Linked DNA regions of Arabidopsis thaliana. The protein of the gene in region 3 interacts with the protein of the main gene of each other region in a biochemical or structural test. Each region holds a gene or a part of one and is shown on either strand. Other genes may lie near its edges. The genes, in order: FHY1, BZR1, HY5 and FHY3.

Region 1 (3,860 bases), on a different chromosome or scaffold from region 3:
TCATATACTATGTTCGACTTTACGTGTTAAAGATACTTACATAAAATTACTAAGGATAACTATTTTTAAAGTTTGGTGTTAATTTCTTTTTAATCAACAATTTTTTGTTTTTGTTTTTTTTTGCTATTTTTATAGCGAATTTAAAACTACTAGACATTGACCAAGAAGACTGATAATGCGAGGGAACCACATTCTAGCAAATCTTGAGTCTTGACCATCATGCCAAAATGTTTTACTAGGAAGAATATCAATAAGCTATCATCTTTTTCTTTATTAAATCAGTTTAGATTTTACATTAGAAAGGAACAAGTTGAATATTAACAAGACTTTTGACCATAATAAGAAAAAGTTATGAATTTTTGTATTATGTTCAGAAGAGAGTGTATTGGAGATAATTTGGAGAGAGCAGATTGAATATAGGTGACCAACCAAAAAAAGAAGAAGATATCATCTGAACAAACTTATTAAAGAACATTGACTCTCATTTCTCAGTTAAGTTGGTACTGAAATACATCAGGGATACTCTTGAACACAAGATTGGTTCATATGAAGGATCAGAGTGTCATAATCATCTCAGAATTTTTTTATACTAACTTTTATTTCTGATCCAGGCAGAACAAGATATATAAGCAAGATTAGTTTTGCAAGCTAATAAAAATCTTAAAAGTTGAAGACTAGAGTTGCAAACATTTCAAAGAAGCTCTCTAATCACTTTGAATTGAACGTTTTTTTAAGGTTGACAAGAATCAAAACAGAACGAGTACAGTTCTATGTACATACATCTCTTCATATATGTTTTGAGTCTCAACATCATTTTGTTACAGCATTAGCGTTGAGAAGTATTGTTCAAATTCTTGATCAATGGTAGGCTTCTTTGTCTCATGTAGAGTAGAATCATCTGTACACATGAAACCAAGTTAGTGAATCCCCGGTTCATTGAATCAATACGGTCAAACCAAAATCCGGTTTTCTTTACCTTGGTTAACAGTCCATCTTCCAGAGGACAGAACAAACTTAGCAGCATTACTACTACATCCTTTAGCATCTTCCTCTTCTTCTTCTTGTTCATCGAGATAGAGAATGTTTTCAATGACTTTCTCTGAAAAATCCTCTAAGTTCTGAGTCCCATAGATGTAATCTAGATGGCTTTCGAAAGAGATCATCTTGTCTTCACCGCATGATCCAGATGATTCCTCTTTCATCTCTATATCATTGTTACACTCCATAGAAGTTGTTGAGTTCACATAAGAAGACATTGAATACTCTGTATCAATCTCCGAGTTACCATTTGTATTCTCTGAACAAGCAACATTGGCAAAACAAGTGTGTTTTGACAGAGGTAATAACGATAACTCATCAGATTGATCTGTCTGAAATTTCCTCTTCTTGCTCACCTCAACTTCTTCCATTTTCAACACATTTTTACTACTACTTATGATCATGTGATGGAAACTGCAAAAAAAAAGAACAACACATATTAAGATAGTGGATGGATCTTAATCACCAAATATATGAAATTGACTTTATTAATCTTGAACTTAATAAGGGTTTAGGAAAGAATAACAGGAAAACTTTCTTAATCTCAACGATTAAATAAGCTAAAATCAAGATAAAACTTCAATCATCCTCTGCAGCTATGATTTTTGGTCAACCATTGACATGAATACATACATAATCAGTCAATCCTCTGTATCTTAAAGAAACTGAGAAGAAGCATAATAAGAAATTTGATCTCTAATGATAATATATAGGAATAGATTGAGAAACTGAAACCTGTTAATCTCAGATGGCTTCTCGTTGTTGTTATCCACTTCCACTTCAGGCATAGATCGCAGAGAGAGAGAGAGAGATAGAGAGAGTTCAAAGATAATTGTTTTTCTTATTACTCTTTTAAAAAATGCTCTTTCCACTTTCAGAGGGTCTGAAAATCTGGAAACTGCGTAACTTAAAATACATAAATTAAGCATCAAGTGTACGACGCGCTACGTTGGAGCGTGTATTACACGAAACATTTGAATCCGTTGATCTCGTCGACATGGTGTTTGATTTGGCGCGTGAAAAGAGTCTACGTGTTGGCGAGGTGACCCATCTTCTTACACGGGACCGTTTTTTATTTTTATCTTTCGCTCCATACGATTTTGCAATCTTTTTTACTATTGTCCCATAACGATTTTATGGGCTTTTGGATGAGGATGTATAAATATTTATCAATTTTTCCCTTACATAGGTATAAATATTCATTATCTTACAAAGATAATAGTTTATAAATTTTATATCATTATTTAAAGAAAATAATATGATGTAGAACTGTCTTTTTAAATTTCTATTAAAAACTTAATTTTAGAAGAATTTGGATTTTTTTTACAAAAATTTTTAGAAAAACTTCTCAACTATTTGGTAATTATTTTTTTGGACAATTTGTTCTTTTTCCAGATAAACTATTAGCTTGGTACCATAATGACAAAATAGTATTTTTAGTTCTTTACTTGGTCTGGTCTACTAGCTAAGCAAAAAAATATCTTACTAATAATTTATAATAATTGACACGTCATAATGTACTGGATCACGTGCATCGCATGTTTAGACGAGAGTATCATATGGCGCTGTCTGATGATTTTGGTAGCATTCATCATTGCAACTCGTAAGAAGAAAAGCTGAAACCAGATCTTCCTTCGTTAACTGTTTTCAGCTCCAGCTTCTGAAACGGACTGTCCAGAAACAAAATATCATCAGGTTTTATCTCAAACAACAACAGATTATATAGTTTGTATCTTGGACTAACCTGCTGTTTGGATCATAATAGAAACCGCTGATGGAACCATCGCTGCAGGAGAAGCATACGTAGTAAAATCCAGCTATTGTTAGTCCACAATCTGTGCCAACGTTTACAAAGTATTGCTCTTTCCATCTCTGCACCACCACAAAAATAAACCCGAGTTGCAGGAATTATGGAATACTTGAGAGAAAATGATGATTGGATTCGATAGGAAAAACTGAGAGTTATACCATAAATATATAAGGATAATTGTTAAGATCCAATTGCCTGCCACCATCAGATTCAACTTGTCCCTGCAGTATTAAGTCCAGAACGTTGCTTAGGAGATGTTACTGACTATACAAACAATGTTACTCGAGTGTTACCTGAAGAGGCGAAAAAGACGGGAACTTTGACCAATGTCTCATATCATCTTCCCTCCTGTGACAAACAAACTTTCAAAAATTTATTCACGATAAGAAATCATCAGTTTCAAATCTACAAGAATATAGGAATTGGGACATACGTTGCTTCCCATTTTCCGGTGTAAAAGGTATAATTCTTTCCATCAACGATTTCCCCTTCCCAGAATGTTATGACCTGACACTCACAGAATCAAGAATCGTGTCCCCTATTAGAAATTCAAGGGGAAGCAATATGAAGAAAAAATGAGTAAGAGTGTAAGGGCTTACAGGAGTGTCTGCCATGGGAACGTTTAGAGCTTCCATGGTGCCACAAAGATAACCATGTTCAAGGTCAATACCCTGTATCTGGACGTTGACTCTCCAAGCTTCCTCCTTCTGTTGATTAGAGACATTTTGCGTACCAGAAAATGCCTGCAGCACAGCATAAAAACATGTGTGTTCCTCATCTTTAGGTTCATTATGAATAAACAATCTCTTTGAGCCAATGAATGTTATACAATCCCAACTAGATACAAATGCACTTGAATTAAGCATACATGTCAACATGAAAAAGATATGAAGCCAATCAAAGCAGACAAGGCCAACTTCTAATTGGTATAACAAAAATCAGCATTACTAGAGAATCGTTATGCAACCAGAACACTTGAACAAGTTGCAGATCTAATGGGAAGAAAGTAACT
Region 2 (4,635 bases), on a different chromosome or scaffold from region 3:
TTTTTATGGTTTTCGAAATGTAATTTTGTTTTGATAATACGTTAAAGTTAATAAAGGTTACAATCAGTTTTCATAGATGTCAACAACACATTAATTGCACCTAGCAAAAACTAGGTATTGTAGTTGATAAATAAGGACAAAAAAAAATGTAGAAGATGATTGATGACATTGGATATGTAAGTTTTTCAGTTAATAATAATAATGGTGATTGATCAAACAGACCCGATCTATGTTTTGTTCCACGACGAGGAATGGGGTGTTCCAGTTCGTGATGACAAGAAACTCTTCGAGCTACTTGTCTTCTCACAAGCTTTGGCTGAGTTTAGCTGGCCTTCAATCCTACGCAGAAGAGACGACTTTAGGTAAACTTAGGACGGTGAATTTGCTATTTTGTGTTTTGGTTTGGTGTGATATCAGAAGTTTTGGTTTCTTTTTTGTAGGAAGCTCTTTGAAGAGTTTGATCCTTCAGCTATAGCACAATTCACAGAGAAGAGGTTGATGTCTCTTAGAGTTAATGGGTGTCTAATTCTATCCGAACAGAAACTGCGAGCAATTGTAGAGAACGCGAAATCTGTTCTCAAGGTAGGCACTGTGTGTTTTGCTATGAAATTGTAGATACTATGTGTTTACTGAAATAGCTTTGGTTGTAATCTGAAAACAGGTCAAGCAGGAATTTGGATCGTTCAGTAATTATTGTTGGAGATTTGTGAACCACAAGCCATTAAGAAATGGCTATCGATATGGTCGTCAAGTACCGGTTAAGTCCCCAAAGGCAGAGTACATTAGCAAAGATATGATGCAGAGAGGGTTTCGCTGCGTTGGTCCTACTGTTATGTATTCCTTCTTGCAGGCCTCTGGCATTGTTAATGATCATCTCACAGCTTGTTTCAGATACCAAGAATGTAATGTTGAGACTGAGAGAGAAACAAAAAGCCATGAGACTGAAACCAAACTGGATCTGCATTCTCCATTACTTGTTTGATCAGAAACAGGGATTGGACTATTAAGAAGATGAGTGACCAGTGTTTGTATTCGTTATGGAATGTACCATTTGTAGCTAGCTGTGTTCATTGATTATGCTACTATCCTAGCTAGCTTTGTCTAACTAGATATTTGATGATGTGTTAGTGTTTGACCAAAAGATTGATTGCAGGGAAATAAAGAATTTAACATTTTGTAAAAGCAAATGTTTTTGCAAATTTTGGATCTTGATGCTAAGAGACAGAATCGGCTCAAGAAATGATATATGACTAAGCAATTTGACAAGACACAAGACAGTTTCAAGCCACTAATTAATGTAACATATGTAAGGAAACAGAATCATACATCTTAAGATTTTTTTATCTACAAATAATGCTTTTGAAACCAAATTCATGAATTGAATAACCACTCTAACACTCCAATGCTTCCATGGAGAAGGCTTTGGGCAGCATATTTGGATAATAAGTGAAGAACATATGAGATTCCATAAAGATCCAAATACCTGGACGAAGAAGAAAATACTCAAGAGGATTAGTTTCTCATATTCCAATGACATGCCATTTGGGTTTGCCTAGTTGTTTATGTCAACCACGAGCCTTCCCATTTCCAAGTGTAAGCTCAAGATCCTCCATACCCACATCATGTATCCTCTCTCCTTCCCAGGGTTTAACTTGGCTATTCTCAAATTTAAACTCAGAGCTTTGACCAATCTCTTGGAAGGCAGCAGTATTTGGAGACATCTGCTGAGGCGCAGGTTTCACAAGATTGAAGGTAGGAGAGGTTGGCACCATAGAGGCAGAGAATGGCTGTTGTTGTGCAAACTTCTGAAAGCTTATCCAATGACCAGAATCAACAGTGGAAGAGTCAGACTCATCACATTCAGGTATAGTAGCCGGGGTATGAAACTGGTGGCGATGTGTCGGACTAGCAGGTGCAGAAACCGCATAGAAAGGATAATTAAAAGACGCCATTGATTGTTTAGCAATGGCCATGGATTGCTTAGCGATAGATTCCCAGTTAGGCAACGGTTTCGGGTTCTTAGAAGTCGGCGATGAGACCGGTGGGGTAACTGGACAACTGTTTGAGATTCTGAGGGAAGGAAGAGAAGAAGGAATGCCACCATTTCTGAGGAAAGGGAAGAATGTAGAGGACATGTTGTTATTTGGTTCACCGCGAGAAGGACTCGGGAATGATGAAGAAGACGGGCTAACTTGGTAAGATGGGATGGGACTTTGAAAGGCTGATGAAAGAGGGCTCTGGTTCTGTGATGAATATGGAGTTACTCGAGATGAAGTCCCAGCTATCTCACCAGGTAAAGGCTTGCATCCCTGATACTCCAACAAAAGCAAAACAATAACCAATCAAACATCAATCAATCACAGGTAAGCAAAAGAAACACAATGCAATGACTTTGGACCAAGTATCATACATAAAAGATTAAGACTTTAGCATACCAATAATAACTCTAAAATTAGAAAGAAAACCCATAAATTCACTTTGAGAAATCAGATCCATCCATAGTTTCTGATGATTCAAATTCACTTTGAGAAAACCCTCAAATTCTCAGATTCAAACCCATTTAACCACAATTGAAATCAACGAATTCAGATTCAAACATCAAAAACATCAATAAAACAAGCTCAGATCTGGAAAAAATGGAGAAAGTCTTCACCTTGCGATAAGTAGTACCATCTTCTTCAACAACCCAACCAGCTTCAACACAAAGAGCTTTAAGGACTTCATTATTATCACAATGTTTAGGCAAATTATAATCACCTTGAGCTCTAAGCCCAGTGTATATCTTCGCAGCTACAGCTCTTCTCCGTCTTTCTCTCCTCCGATTATTCTCCCTTTCTCTCCACGACGGCTTCCTCCTCGCCGCTGCTGCCGCCGCCGCAGCTGCAGCTGCTGATGTCGACGTAGCTCCATCCGAAGTCATCGGGAAAACCAACAACCAACCCCTCGAAACTTCCGGAGAGAGCTTTGAATAGGTGGGTGAAAGATTGTGTGAACGTAGACTGATGAAGAAGAAGAAGAGAGGAGTGAGAAGTTAGTGCTCACGAGGAATACGCTTTTCCTTCGCTGGAATCGAAGAAGAAGAATCTCTCTTTCTTCTCCAACAAATAATAATATTTTTTTCATCTAATGTAAAAATTGGGTCGTGTGTGTGTTCAAGTACATTGAGTTCATATTAAGAATCATTGTTCTTGTGTATCGATCGTCCACGTGTAAATACATGGTTTTGGAAGGGTGAGATTACGTGAGGTGAATATAAGAGGTGTATGTTAAGGTGCAGAGGATAACTACGCTTAGTAACGTGTGTTTATGTTCTAATCTTTTTTTTTTTCTGTGAGTATGTAAAATGAGTAATGACCAAATAATACAGAGAAAAGAAAGGAGGAGACACAGTGGGACCGTTTCTTCAGTGTGGGTCCCTTACTTGTGTGACCGAAAAACACACCATTTGATTGGTTTTTAAAATTTTATTTTATACAGTGAAGCCGTGTGATTAACATCATAATGATATATTCAATTAAAAATTATCACTTTTTTCTTGCATACAAATCTCACTTTAGAAACAATTTTGACTACTTTTGTCCTGATTAGTTGTATGTACACTGGCTCTCTCTTTTTTTTACCTTCTTCGTACCTTACAAATGATATAAAGATTGGTGAATACCATTTACTATGTTCTATAAAGTATTTAGTTTGGTTACATGTTGATTTTAAGCTTTAGTATCTAATATCCAAATTTTGGATTAATTGCTGGGTCCATCATTATTTATGTATTCATAACCAAAACTTGTATAGTTCATTGAACATAAAAGGAAAAAGGGGTTTACGAGTTTGTCCCATAACAAGGTTCGGCGGCATATATGATGTATGATCATGTAATATTTTTGGATTATGACGTTTATTTTGTAGAAAGTGCAGGAGCATGTAACTAATGTCTTAAAAGCAGAGGAACCCGAACCATCAACGCGAGTTGGGAAACATTTGGAATGAATCAGAGGGTTCGATGAATTAGGCAAAACTAAAGTAATCGCCGTTGCCGGGGATCGAACCCGGGTCACCCGCGTGACAGGCGGGAATACTTACCACTATACTACAACGACTTTGTTGCTAATCGAGCGATTATGTGTTAATTATTGGTGATACGTTTTAAATCATCAGTTAAATCTTAATACCAGCTTTCGTTTCTAGCATTAAAAGGAATTTAGGGGTTTTCTTCTTTGGTTTGGCACTAGTAACCTACTTGTGATAATAAGTAGATTATGTGTTAAGTATGTTTTTTTTGGAAATATGTTCTGTTTTTCCGATTAACTCCATGTTACCTAGCTAACTCGTTTTGGACAATAAGTACATTACTTTAAACCATCAAACTTACAAAATGCTATGTCTTGAACAAGAAAAAATGTTGGCTTAAGAATCACTCCATGAACATTGTTTTAGTTTAGTTAAATGTTCAATATGGACATTATACGATGACATATTTAATAGAGGCGTGATTTCAAATTCAAATTACATTGGAGAGGAACGAAAACAAATAAACAATAGGGGTATAATCGTAACTTACGCATGCATGGGCCCCATAACTCCTGACTTTTTTTTTATTTTGAAAAAACCCAGTCAACCATTCATATTCACGTCGAT
Region 3 (4,164 bases):
GATAGAATCTGAGTATCCTCAAAAGCATGAGAAATAATGTCAAACAATCCATAGTACACTAGCAACTAGCAATAGATGAAGATGAGATCCACGAAAAATCTAAAATAGAAAACAAAGAATCAGAAAGCATACAACAGGTAAAGAAATGTACGATTTTGTCCATGAAATTCGGTTGTGGCAACCCGATTCTAAGAAGGGAGCAGCAAGTTCAAGGTAGCAGTGACAGAAAACAATGTCTGGATTCCATGGATTTTAGAAAAAGGAAAGCAAAAGTGTAAGAAAACACTTACATGATTGCTCATCTCTCGAGCTTGACAAGCTTTGGCTGTAAAAGATCGACCCTACCCTCTTTGTCCGATTTCCGCATAATATGATCAACGGCATCTTCGTTTACAAATCCATGGCGACTTGTCTGTAAGAAATCGGGAGGGATAGGGGCAAAAAGGAAAAAAAAAAGAGTAAAGATTCCACTATCCCAGAATTTGTTTGGGACTTTGAACTGCGGGAATCGAAAACGCAACCTTTCTACTACAGTGTCACAATGTCATATCATAGAACAAAAATTAGCTTATTTTTGTTATAAAACAACATTATGTTTCAATTAAGAGAAATCTAAGACTACAATAAGAGAACTTGGTCTACAATTGCAATATTAGCTCTCACATCCCATATAATTTTAACATGATAATTATTGATACAATTCTCTGTAAATTTTATCCACAAAAATATAACACAAGAAGAAGAAGGAGATCAAAGGCTTGCATCAGCATTAGAACCACCACCACCTCCTCTCTTGTTTCCTGTTGTGTTCTTCAGAATCTACACCACATAAAAAACATAACAACTCAAAAGACTTTATTACCACACACACACATAGAGATCCAACTTTGCAATCTCATCTTCTCCATTCATATAGAACAAAATGAGTGAGCATTTCAAGAACCATTGAAGAATTTACATGCCTTTTGAGAGAATATGCGAGTGAATGACCATTTCAAGAACCTACATGCCTTCTGAGAATTAATCTAAAGCTTAAGTTAGCTTCTTAGATCCTTTTAACTAACTAAACTAATTATTGGTCAATCCTAGACTCGTAAATGTGATAAACCAGTACTGTGATATATCAAAAAACAAATGGCAAAAGCATTGACGTTGCAGGTTAAGTCAACAGTAAGATCGACAAAACGTACATGTCTAAGCATCTGGTTCTCGTTCTGAAGAGTAGAGAGTCGCTCTTCAAGTTCAGAGTTTTTGTTCTCCAAGTCTTTCACTCTGTTTTCCAACTCGCTCAAGTAAGCCTTTTTCCTCTCTCTTGCTTGCTGAGCTGAAACTCTGTTCCTCAACAACCTTTTCACCACAAAATTACCAAACAACCCCATCACGCAACCGTTATTTAACATAATCACCTTCCATATAAAGGGTAAAAATGTAAATTCAATGAATAGAGAAAAAGACACCTCTTCAGCCGCTTGTTCTCTTTCTCCGCCGGTGTCCTCCCTCGCTTCCTTTGACTTTCTCCGACAGTCGCCTGTGTCCGCTCCTGACCGGTCGCCGATCCAGATTCTCTACCGGAAGTTTCTTTTCCGACAGCTTCTCCTCCAAACTCCGGCACTCGCCGTATCTCCTCATCGCTTTCAATTCCTTTAAAACATAAAAGAGACTTTAGACGAAAAGTTTCAAACTTTTTAAATACAATAAAAAATTGCAGATCTTCTGGGGGAGACTAAAAGTTGTGAATCTAGATGTGAATCAATGGTGATACAAAATCTAGATGTGAATTTACTAGATATCCAATGCATGAGAATGAAAATCAATGAGATCACTCGTTGGGAGAAGATATGAAAATAAAACAATCGACAATTTTTGTTTACCTTCTTTGATCTCCAAATGTGGAGCAGAGCTTGATGACCTCTCGCTGCTTGATGGTAAAGAGCTTGCAGCTAAAGAGCTAGTCGCTTGTTCCTGCATTTTTCTTACTCTTTGAAGATCGATCAGGCGAGAGAGAGAGGGAAAGATTTGTTGTCTTAGTAGCGAAGCTGGTGAAAAGGATAAAGAGGAAAAGAGCGGGACTTGGGATTTACAGAAGAACTTGGAAAGAATCTAATTGCGAGACATTTTGGGAAGGAATAGATTACTCTGGCTACCGCCGTCAGATCTCTGAAGAATCGAACGGATATCGAGAGTGAATCGTGGAGAAAGGTGAGCCTTGAGGAAATACAAGGATCCAAAGGCAATTGAGATTGGAACGTGGGTGGATTTTAGCCGTTAGATCTGGTTAGCATCTTACGGTGAATAATGGATAGGGGAGCTAATTGGGTGGGCCCCATTCCTGTCCTTGGACAGAAAAGTTTGGTCTGAGTTCTTTCATTCTGTCACATGGCCCACGCCTAGGGCAGTGCTTTCAAAAGTGTCGTGAAAGTAATTTATTTTATTTTTGGTGATTTGTTTTTGTCATGCATTAAAATTAAACTTTATAGCCGCCATAAACCAAACAAAGTTGAAACGGTTTTCTACAAGACACAATCTCAGCAAGGAAATAACTAAAAACTGAATACAAGATATCCTAAAATTTCATAGTCCAACATATCCAGCCACACCATTGGACAGAATCTACTACTATAAACACTCCTCGTATCACCAAAAAAACTTGTCCTTGACGACAATGTTGATGAGTTTCTGAGAATCAAGTATACAAATCATTGCCATCTCAACGTTAACATTAGATCAAACCGGAGCTTGATATGGAGCTCGCTTATCTGGAACTCCGTCTTCTGCTCTTTTATCTTCGAACCACTTCAAAACTCGCTTCCTTGGAAGATTGGTCACTTGAACAATGCTGCTAACCACAGCATTCTATTCACAGCATCATCAAACATGATCATATGTGAGATAGAGCATTCAAGTAACATAGAAATTGATTCAAATGTAAAAGGAGAATCCTTACAGTGGGTCGTTTTGATCTTCTGTAAACTTTCTCTAGCGTTTCAATGTGAGCTTTCTTCACTCTTTTCTGAGCAGACCATCTCTGTTGCATCACATGAACTGCTTCATCTTTTACTTTTTCCTTAGGTTCGACCACAACATCTTCAGCTGATAATGATTCCACAGGACTTGGATCAGGTGAGGAGTTCTCAGGTGCTGCTACTGGCGGTTTTTCATCTGGTAGTGTAGCACTTAGCATTAGCAGCTTTGGAGGCGGGTCACGAAGCAATTCAAGAACATAAGCCCTGTCAAGACAAACCTCAGCTGCCAGATTTTTAATCTACAGATCACAACAAAACCATCCGTTATCAATTATGCATTTGAAAACCAGAGAACTACTTGTTCTTTGTCAACTCTTAAACAATTCGTAAGCAAAATCTCCAAAGCAGACACTAACTCAAGCACTATGCTTTACACAATGTATTCAACATCACTTCAACACTGAACTAAAACTTACACTAGTTTTACGACGCCCAGCTTTCAATGCATAAGCCAGTCTTTTAAGCTGCCAATTCTTCAGCTTAGTCGGTCTTTCATCTTCTTCGCTGTCATCATCATCATCATCATTATCATCATCATCATTATCATCATCATCATTATCAACATCAACATCAACATCACCAGTGACTGAACCAAACAAGTCGATGTCATCAACATCGTCACCAACACCCAATGCTCGAGCTAACTCATCGGCTAATGCCTCTAACTCTTCCTCACTTATCTCCTCATCATCCGAGTTATCATTCTTCAAATCTTCTTCTAAAAGATTAAACAATGCCTCAAATGGATCCTCCTCCTCCTCACCTCCTCCATTATCAGCTCCATCCAAACTTTTCTGCCACAAACCATGAAATCAAAGGCTGATACAAAATCAAAAAGAGCCAAAGTCTAATTCGAGGATTCACCAATTCTAACCGATAATAGCTCACTTAGTTAGTGTATCCAAATTCTAGTCAAATTCGGCGAAAGCAGCAGGTAAGAGCAATTGCGAACATAAATCATTCTCATTCTGATTTTCTTACCTTTTTGTTTTTCTTCGGAGACGAAGAAGACGAAGACACGAATCCTTTTCGATTCTTGCCACGAGCAAAAACAAGTACAGACCGAGACGGATTGAGAATTGGAAGAGATAGACCACAAGGACTAGCGTTCCGATTCCGAAACAGAACTCTGTTGACGGAT
Region 4 (6,327 bases), on a different chromosome or scaffold from region 3:
GTTTTTACATGTGACCAGAATTTTTTTGGAACAATAAACGAAAAATGAGTCTCAATTGCAAGAGAGTCTTGCTTGATATGTAAGAAAAAAAGCATTTTCCTTAGGCCACTAAAAAATAATCAAATAAAACGCCACATTTTTTTTCTACATATATCACATTTTTAATGTGTTTTAGGACTTTATTTTGAAAACAAAATTCATCTCTTTAACATTTATAGAAATTTTTGTTTGTTTTTTTACATTAAATTACTAAATCGTATTTATTCATTAATGTTTTTTTTAATAACAGTATTTAAATAATTTCTTCTATACAAAATAGAATGTTAGGCCACATTTTAATAATTTGCCTAAAAGCTCTATTTGCCAAAAGAAGAGAAAAATTGTTTATGATTACTCAAAAATAATAATAATAAATTTATGATCCTTCTCTGATTTTAAAGAATTTTATATTTATACTATGTAACCCTCTCTCCTCTCTTCAACAAGATTCAAACCGCCAATAGCATACCACAATTTTGTTTGTAATTTGGGCAAGATTAATCACAAGATACAAATTTGAGAAACCTAATCAAGAGAATTAACAAGAGTTTACAAATAGAGAATATTCTTGTAACACTGTTTCTTCACCTCTTAAATCGAACAGTCAAATGATCAAACATATGATCATCAGAACTAATACAAACAATATTAACAGAATCGAATCTCTGAGAATAAAGGCGAAACAATACAACATCCTATTTTTAACACTTGAGAAGATAAAACAGAGCTTTGGCTCATGTTCTGTTCCAAACCTAACCGCGTCCTAGTGCTCGTTGGCTTTTGTTCTCCGAGATTTGAATCTTTCATCCACAGACTGACGACTCTTAAGATTTGATTCGTGGTTAACTTATAGTTTTGTTTACGAGTGTCTAGACGCGTCCTCATGCAACTGCGTAGTCCTCACATTAGGATCATCCTGCACAGAAATCACCATGAACTAAGATGACCAATTGATACAAACAGGAAAAAGAAAGATCTTTTATTACAACTGCAATAGTTACCCGGATGTCGTAAGAAAAATTGGCAGGCCTGAAGAAATCTACTCCCTAGAAAGAACAAAGTAAGATTTTACTTTTTTGGCAGTCTTGTTACAAGATTGACAAAACTTATGAAAGCATTGAGAATAGGTATGTAGGTACCTGTCCATGGATGCCTTGCTGAGGACCGTAGTAACTGTCGTAGCTTGGTGCTATCGAGTTCAACTGTCGCTACAGAAAACCAGCCGGAATTGTTTTTTTATCCAAAGTTAATGAAATAGAAAACAGCAGAAGCTACTTATACACATGTCATGGTCGATTTCATACCAATCCTTGCATTGTTTGTTGATTCCCATAGAAATTATCGCGAGTTGGCCCCATTAAGTTCAGCTGGACCTGTAAAAACACATATCAAAACAGATTACATACGTATCTAGATAATAATATGAACGTATGTTGTGCTTAATTACCATTCCTTGTACGCTCTGCTGTGTTCCATAATAGCTTTCAATGCCAACCGTCCTTGGGCTCAGCTTATCCTGCAATTACAAAATTCAGATATGACATACTTAGGCGACTTGTGTTTAAAAGAGGCTTGCCACGACATGTCAACAAAGACAGACCATCTGTTGCAAGCTTTCTGGCGCTGCAACTGGCATAACATCCTGCTCTGGGTTCACCTGAAATTAGTATTTGGTATCATCAAATTTGCAAAGCATAAAAGCGCAAAGCGAACAAAATCCATAAGCTGTCTGCACAGAGAGATCGTAAACAAGTAAGTTACTTTTCTTTTCTTAGTTGGATTCTTTTTCTTGCTGGTTTTGCCTGCACTTCTGCTATGGTTGTCCTCCTCCACAGAAATCAGACCTTGAGTTGGTGACGTTACAACATCTGGAAGACTTCTGCCGGAAGTATTAATACCAGCACAGTTTCCTATAGCTCCTTCAATAGCAAGGAATGCAATATTGTAACTCTCTTGAGAGAGGGATGCCTCTTCATTCAGCTTTAATGCTCGTTCGCACAAATCGTTATACCGCAGCAGCCTAGTCTGCAACTGCTGAGGTTCTCCTGAAAAATGCCGGCTTTTTGCATCTTTTGTCCACCGCTTCAATATGTACTGCGAGGGGATGGAAGAAAGATGACAACACTGAAGAACATTAAGAGTGTGTCTGCAGAGATACCCTTTATACTCAAATAACCGACAGATGCAAGAGACTTCAGCCTTTGTTTGGTTCCATGTTACCATGAAGTCTTGGTTGTTTTCAAAATCCTGCACTCTAAAAGTAGAACATGTGGCATCTCGGTTCTCCTCCCTAGGACTACACGCAATCGCACCCAAAACTTCAATCTGGAACTTTTTGAAAACTGCAGGAGTATAGACTTCAGAAACACTCTTCTCAAATGGCGATGGAGACTTCATTGCTGGCTGCTTGTTCCACATTTCAGAATCAGCTTTGGCTTCTTCTTCACATCTATCTTGCAAAACTGTATCATATACCTTTACAAATTCTTGTACACTAGTCTTCTTATGCATATACTTGTCGAAGAAAGCATTAATACTATCAGCTCGTTGAGATGTAGACATCCCAGCCAAAAGAACATCAGTCATGTAGGTTGGTGCCCATTTCTTGCGGTCTTCATATAAAGAAATCATCCATTGATCATCTTTGAGGCCGAATCTAGCAAGATTCTTATACCATTTTCTCGCAAAGTCTTCATCTTTCCCTGATTTATAGATGCACTTCTCAAACTTAGGCATAAAATTATCATGTTGCTTAACAACTTGACCAAGATTCTCAGAAACCTTCATCAATACATGCCAAAGAAAAAGGCAATGCCGTGTATTGGGGAAGATTTCGGGAACAATGGAGTTCATTACAACGTCTAGCTCAGTGATCAAAACCTTTGGAGCTTGTCCACCGATTGCTCTCAGCCAGGTCTCCATTAACCAAGAATATGTTGCTGCACTCTCATCGGATATTAAGGCGCACCCAAGGACCATATACTGGTAGTGCTGGTTCACTCCAACAAAAATAGCAAGTGGCATCTTGTACTTGTTTCTTACGTAGGTGGTGTCTAGAGAAACAACATCACAAAAACTGCCATAGTTATGCCTGCTCTTTGCATCTACCCAAAATACATTCTTCACTCGCTGATCATCGCCCAGATCTACTGCATAAAAGAAGTTGGAATTCAAGGATTGCATCCGTGACAAGAAGTCAAGCAGGATTTTGAAATCCCCTGTTTCCACTGATAAAGTCCGACCTTTTTCAAAAGAACTTTTCGAATCGCTTTTTAGACTTATAACAGTTTTGTACTCAGCAAACTGCTTAGCCATTGCAGCATATATCTTTCTGGTCTGTTCACTCACAGCTTGTGCAGGTAAAAGCTCATGATTATGCTCCCTCACAAAGCTGTGAATTACCCATTTCCCATCCGGCCTTCTCTTAACATGCATACTAGCTTTGCAATCGGTTTTCGCACATGTTCTCCTACCAGCCATATTCTCTGGATCTTGCTTACTTTGTCTAGCTCGTGGCCGATTAAAAGATTTGTCATATTCTCTTTTAGTACCATACCTAGAGCAAGCAAACTTCGCATCAATAAACTCTCTTGTAGTTTTCGATCTACGACTGTTCTGTATCGCAGTGTTAAACCCCATAGCTCGAGAATACTCCTGGTAAAACGAATACGCTTCACCGTGTGACTCAAACTCCATACCATTAAGAGGTTCAAGATTCATACCCTCAGTGTACTCAACCAACTCCCCAGTTGGAACACCCATGCCTACACTGTCATCAGTATTAACCTCAACAGAAACATCCTCAATTTTGCCAATATCCATATCTTCTTCATTGTGTAACACATTATCAAGTCCTCTATCCTCATCATCTCCTTTGCAAAGGTCACCTGAATGTAGTCGAAGATCTATATCCATGACAAACCTATAGTCTCAGGCAAAACAAACGTCTTACAACACTGCAAGACAAAATCTAGGTCTCAGTACATATATCTAGGTCAAAATGTATACTAAAGTCACACACAAAAGATGTAACAAACCAGAGAAACCCATCAAAATTCAATCTTTCTATGATGATAAATCGAGAAAGTATACACATTTTGCCCTTACAATTGCAGAAAAAAGCAACTTGCAGCTAAATTCTTAGTGGGTATTTCATCACATAAACGAAATCCTCAAATCCAATTCCTAAAACGAAGCTGATCAAAACTACTGTATAACCCAATCATTTGTGTTGGTTATCACTATAAAACAAAAACAAAAAATAAAAATGAAAACTTTACCTCGTACGAAACAGAAGATATACGAATCGGAGCAGAAACTGAGAAAAGGCCGTCTCTTTTTAATCTCTTCGTCGTCGAGAGGAGGAAGAAGAAGAAGACAACACGCGCCAATCGGGTGCGAGTTGGGGTATCGATCTGCGAAAAGGAGATAGAGAAGAAGAAGAGAGAAAGAGAAGAAAAATTGGTGAGTGGTGTTCACGCGATCTGAGGAAGCGAGTGGGCGGAAGATCCACGATTCGTTCTTTTGGTGTCTAGGGTTTCTTCTTCTTCTTCTCTCTGTCTAAACGCATCACCATGTTTTTTGATAATAATAATATCTCTATCCATTTATTTATGTTATTAATAAAATAAAATTAGAAAGAAAAAAAAAAACTGTTTTTGTTTGAAATTTTGTGCAACGCGCATGCCAAAACAAAAATTGGAGGGAAGCGTGAATAATGGGAATGATGAGATTTACTTACATCTATAAGAGTAGACTTGTTTAGGCTTTTAAAATTTGTTTGGTCCACTCTAAGACTAAGACTTGTTTGAATTATTTTATTTTGTATTTCTAAGTATTTACTATGGTGAAAACTGAAACATTACGGTGAATTACAAAAAAAAATCATAGTAAACTATTCAAAATATTTTTTTGTTATTTACAAACTATCAGTTTTGAATTTGGACTATATATATATATATATATTAGTAAATGCTTTTACCAACTTTCAATAGCCAAGAGCCAATTGGTATGACTATTTCAGAATTGGATTAATTTATTATATTTGATCCAAAATAAAAAGATCAATAGCCGTCCAAAAAAATAAATAAATCAATAGCCACTCATTAGCATGAGTCACTGTTCTTTTTAATTTTGTACATATAGATTAGCTCAGTCTTAAAAACCATAGTTATAATTAGTCCCACTAATGTTAAAAAGTTTGGTAAAAAAAAAATTATTTCCTAACTTTTTTTTACATATTAGCTACAATAAAATAAATACCATTTTTGGAAATATTTTATGAATTCAAAATAAATTTCATAAAATATCATAATCAATAGCCAATAGCCAGTTGGTAATTTACTATTTCCGACATGATTTAATTTAATACAGCATATATTTTTTGACAAAAAGCCAGCCAATATCCTGAAATTTAATTATAATTATGCCAAAATTATTTATAATACCAAAATTATTTATAATTAATTATCCACTAATGTAAAAGTTGGGTCAACCATTTGGACTTAATTAAGACTAAACCTGCCACAGTAACAGAGAGAGACGATATTTTCTCAGTCCCTTTCCCTTTTCAACGAGCAACAACACTCTTCACTTAATCGCTCCGGCGGTGGCGAACGGCAACGTGACGGTGACGTTGTCGGAAAATTAGAGTTTGTTTATCTTTGCTTATTGTTGTTGGAGAAGAAGGTATGGTGAGGAAACACGGTTGGCAACTTCCCGCTCACACTCTTCAGGTAAAATCGAATGTAACCTTTCTCTATAGCCAAAGCTTCAATTTTTCATGAATCTGCTCAATCTAAAGTCACCAATGGCTGTGATTTCAATTGGGTTCTGTGTATTTTTCTTCTCAGGTGATTGCAATTACGGTGTTTTGCTTGTTGGTGGTCGCTTTCTATGCTTTCTTCGCTCCTTTTGTTGGAGGTCGTATTTGGGAATACGTTTTGATCGGTGTTTACTCTCCCGTGGTATGTTTAATGCTTCTCAAGCTAGTAGTGTTTATGATCAGAATCAATTTTGCAAATTCATAACGAGTTTTGGATTCCACAGCTGTGTAGTTTATGGCATTGATCTTATCTGATAGGTTCCTTTATGTATCGTGTGTGTTTTTGCAGGCTATTCTTGTGTTTGTTTTGTATGTTCGGTGTACTGCAATCAATCCTGCGGATCCGAGAATCATGTCGATATTTGATACAGGCGTGAATGGAGATGGCATGGTTCGTGGCTTATCAAGGAATTATGATGAAACTGGTAGTCAGTTGCAGGCTTCTCCTTCGGTTGTCAGTAGGA

What was found.
Region 1: the proteins of HY5 (region 3) and FHY1 form a complex in vitro, tested with the Arabidopsis thaliana proteins (one study listed by BioGRID).
Region 2: the proteins of HY5 (region 3) and BZR1 form a complex in vitro, tested with the Arabidopsis thaliana proteins (one study listed by BioGRID).
Region 4: the proteins of HY5 (region 3) and FHY3 form a complex in vitro, tested with the Arabidopsis thaliana proteins (2 studies listed by BioGRID).

What each region holds. Positions count from the first base shown.
Region 1 is NC_003071.7:15,800,871-15,804,730, forward strand, and holds FHY1 (far-red elongated hypocotyl 1), read right to left. Parts: upstream 1,924-3,860; 5' UTR 1,827-1,923; coding exon 1,774-1,826; intron 1,453-1,773; coding exon 977-1,452; coding exon of another isoform or gene 951-976; exon of another isoform or gene 899-950; coding exon 819-898; 3' UTR 548-818; downstream 1-547. Other genes in the region: AT2G37680 (glucose-induced degradation-like protein), read right to left, coding at 2,630-2,708, 2,783-2,910, 3,007-3,069, 3,142-3,196, 3,282-3,355, 3,448-3,591. UniProt on the Arabidopsis thaliana protein: Key regulator of far red / red (FR/R) spectrum-specific responses essential for the adaption to changing light conditions (e.g. de-etiolation), essentially by regulating PHYA shuttling from the cytoplasm to the nucleus and by directly regulating the expression of some target genes, depending on light conditions and phosphorylation status.
Region 2 is NC_003070.9:28,183,994-28,188,628, reverse strand, and holds BZR1 (Brassinosteroid signaling positive regulator (BZR1) family protein), read right to left. Parts: upstream 3,126-4,635; 5' UTR 2,921-3,125; coding exon 2,654-2,920; intron 2,310-2,653; coding exon 1,566-2,309; 3' UTR 1,484-1,565; exon of another isoform or gene 1,219-1,483; intron 1,183-1,218; exon of another isoform or gene 983-1,182; coding exon of another isoform or gene 662-982; 3' UTR 583-661; downstream 1-582. Other genes in the region: AT1G75090 (DNA glycosylase superfamily protein), read left to right, coding at 221-362, 441-582, 662-982.
Region 3 is NC_003076.8:3,592,833-3,596,996, forward strand, and holds HY5 (Basic-leucine zipper (bZIP) transcription factor family protein), read right to left. Parts: upstream 2,172-4,164; 5' UTR 1,969-2,171; coding exon 1,872-1,968; intron 1,642-1,871; coding exon 1,458-1,641; intron 1,348-1,457; coding exon 1,086-1,347; 3' UTR 963-1,085; intron 820-962; coding exon of another isoform or gene 751-819; 3' UTR 529-750; downstream 1-528. Other genes in the region: OCP3 (overexpressor of cationic peroxidase 3), read right to left, coding at 2,725-2,853, 2,945-3,262, 3,440-3,817, 4,005-4,164.
Region 4 is NC_003074.8:7,821,461-7,827,787, forward strand, and holds FHY3 (far-red elongated hypocotyls 3), read right to left. Parts: upstream 4,737-6,327; 5' UTR 4,320-4,736; intron 3,996-4,319; 5' UTR 3,955-3,995; coding exon 1,801-3,954; intron 1,697-1,800; coding exon 1,640-1,696; intron 1,556-1,639; coding exon 1,487-1,555; intron 1,413-1,486; coding exon 1,344-1,412; intron 1,248-1,343; coding exon 1,179-1,247; intron 1,086-1,178; coding exon 1,041-1,085; intron 956-1,040; coding exon 899-955; 3' UTR 537-898; downstream 1-536. Other genes in the region: AT3G22180 (DHHC-type zinc finger family protein), read left to right, coding at 5,730-5,774, 5,892-6,005, 6,153-6,327.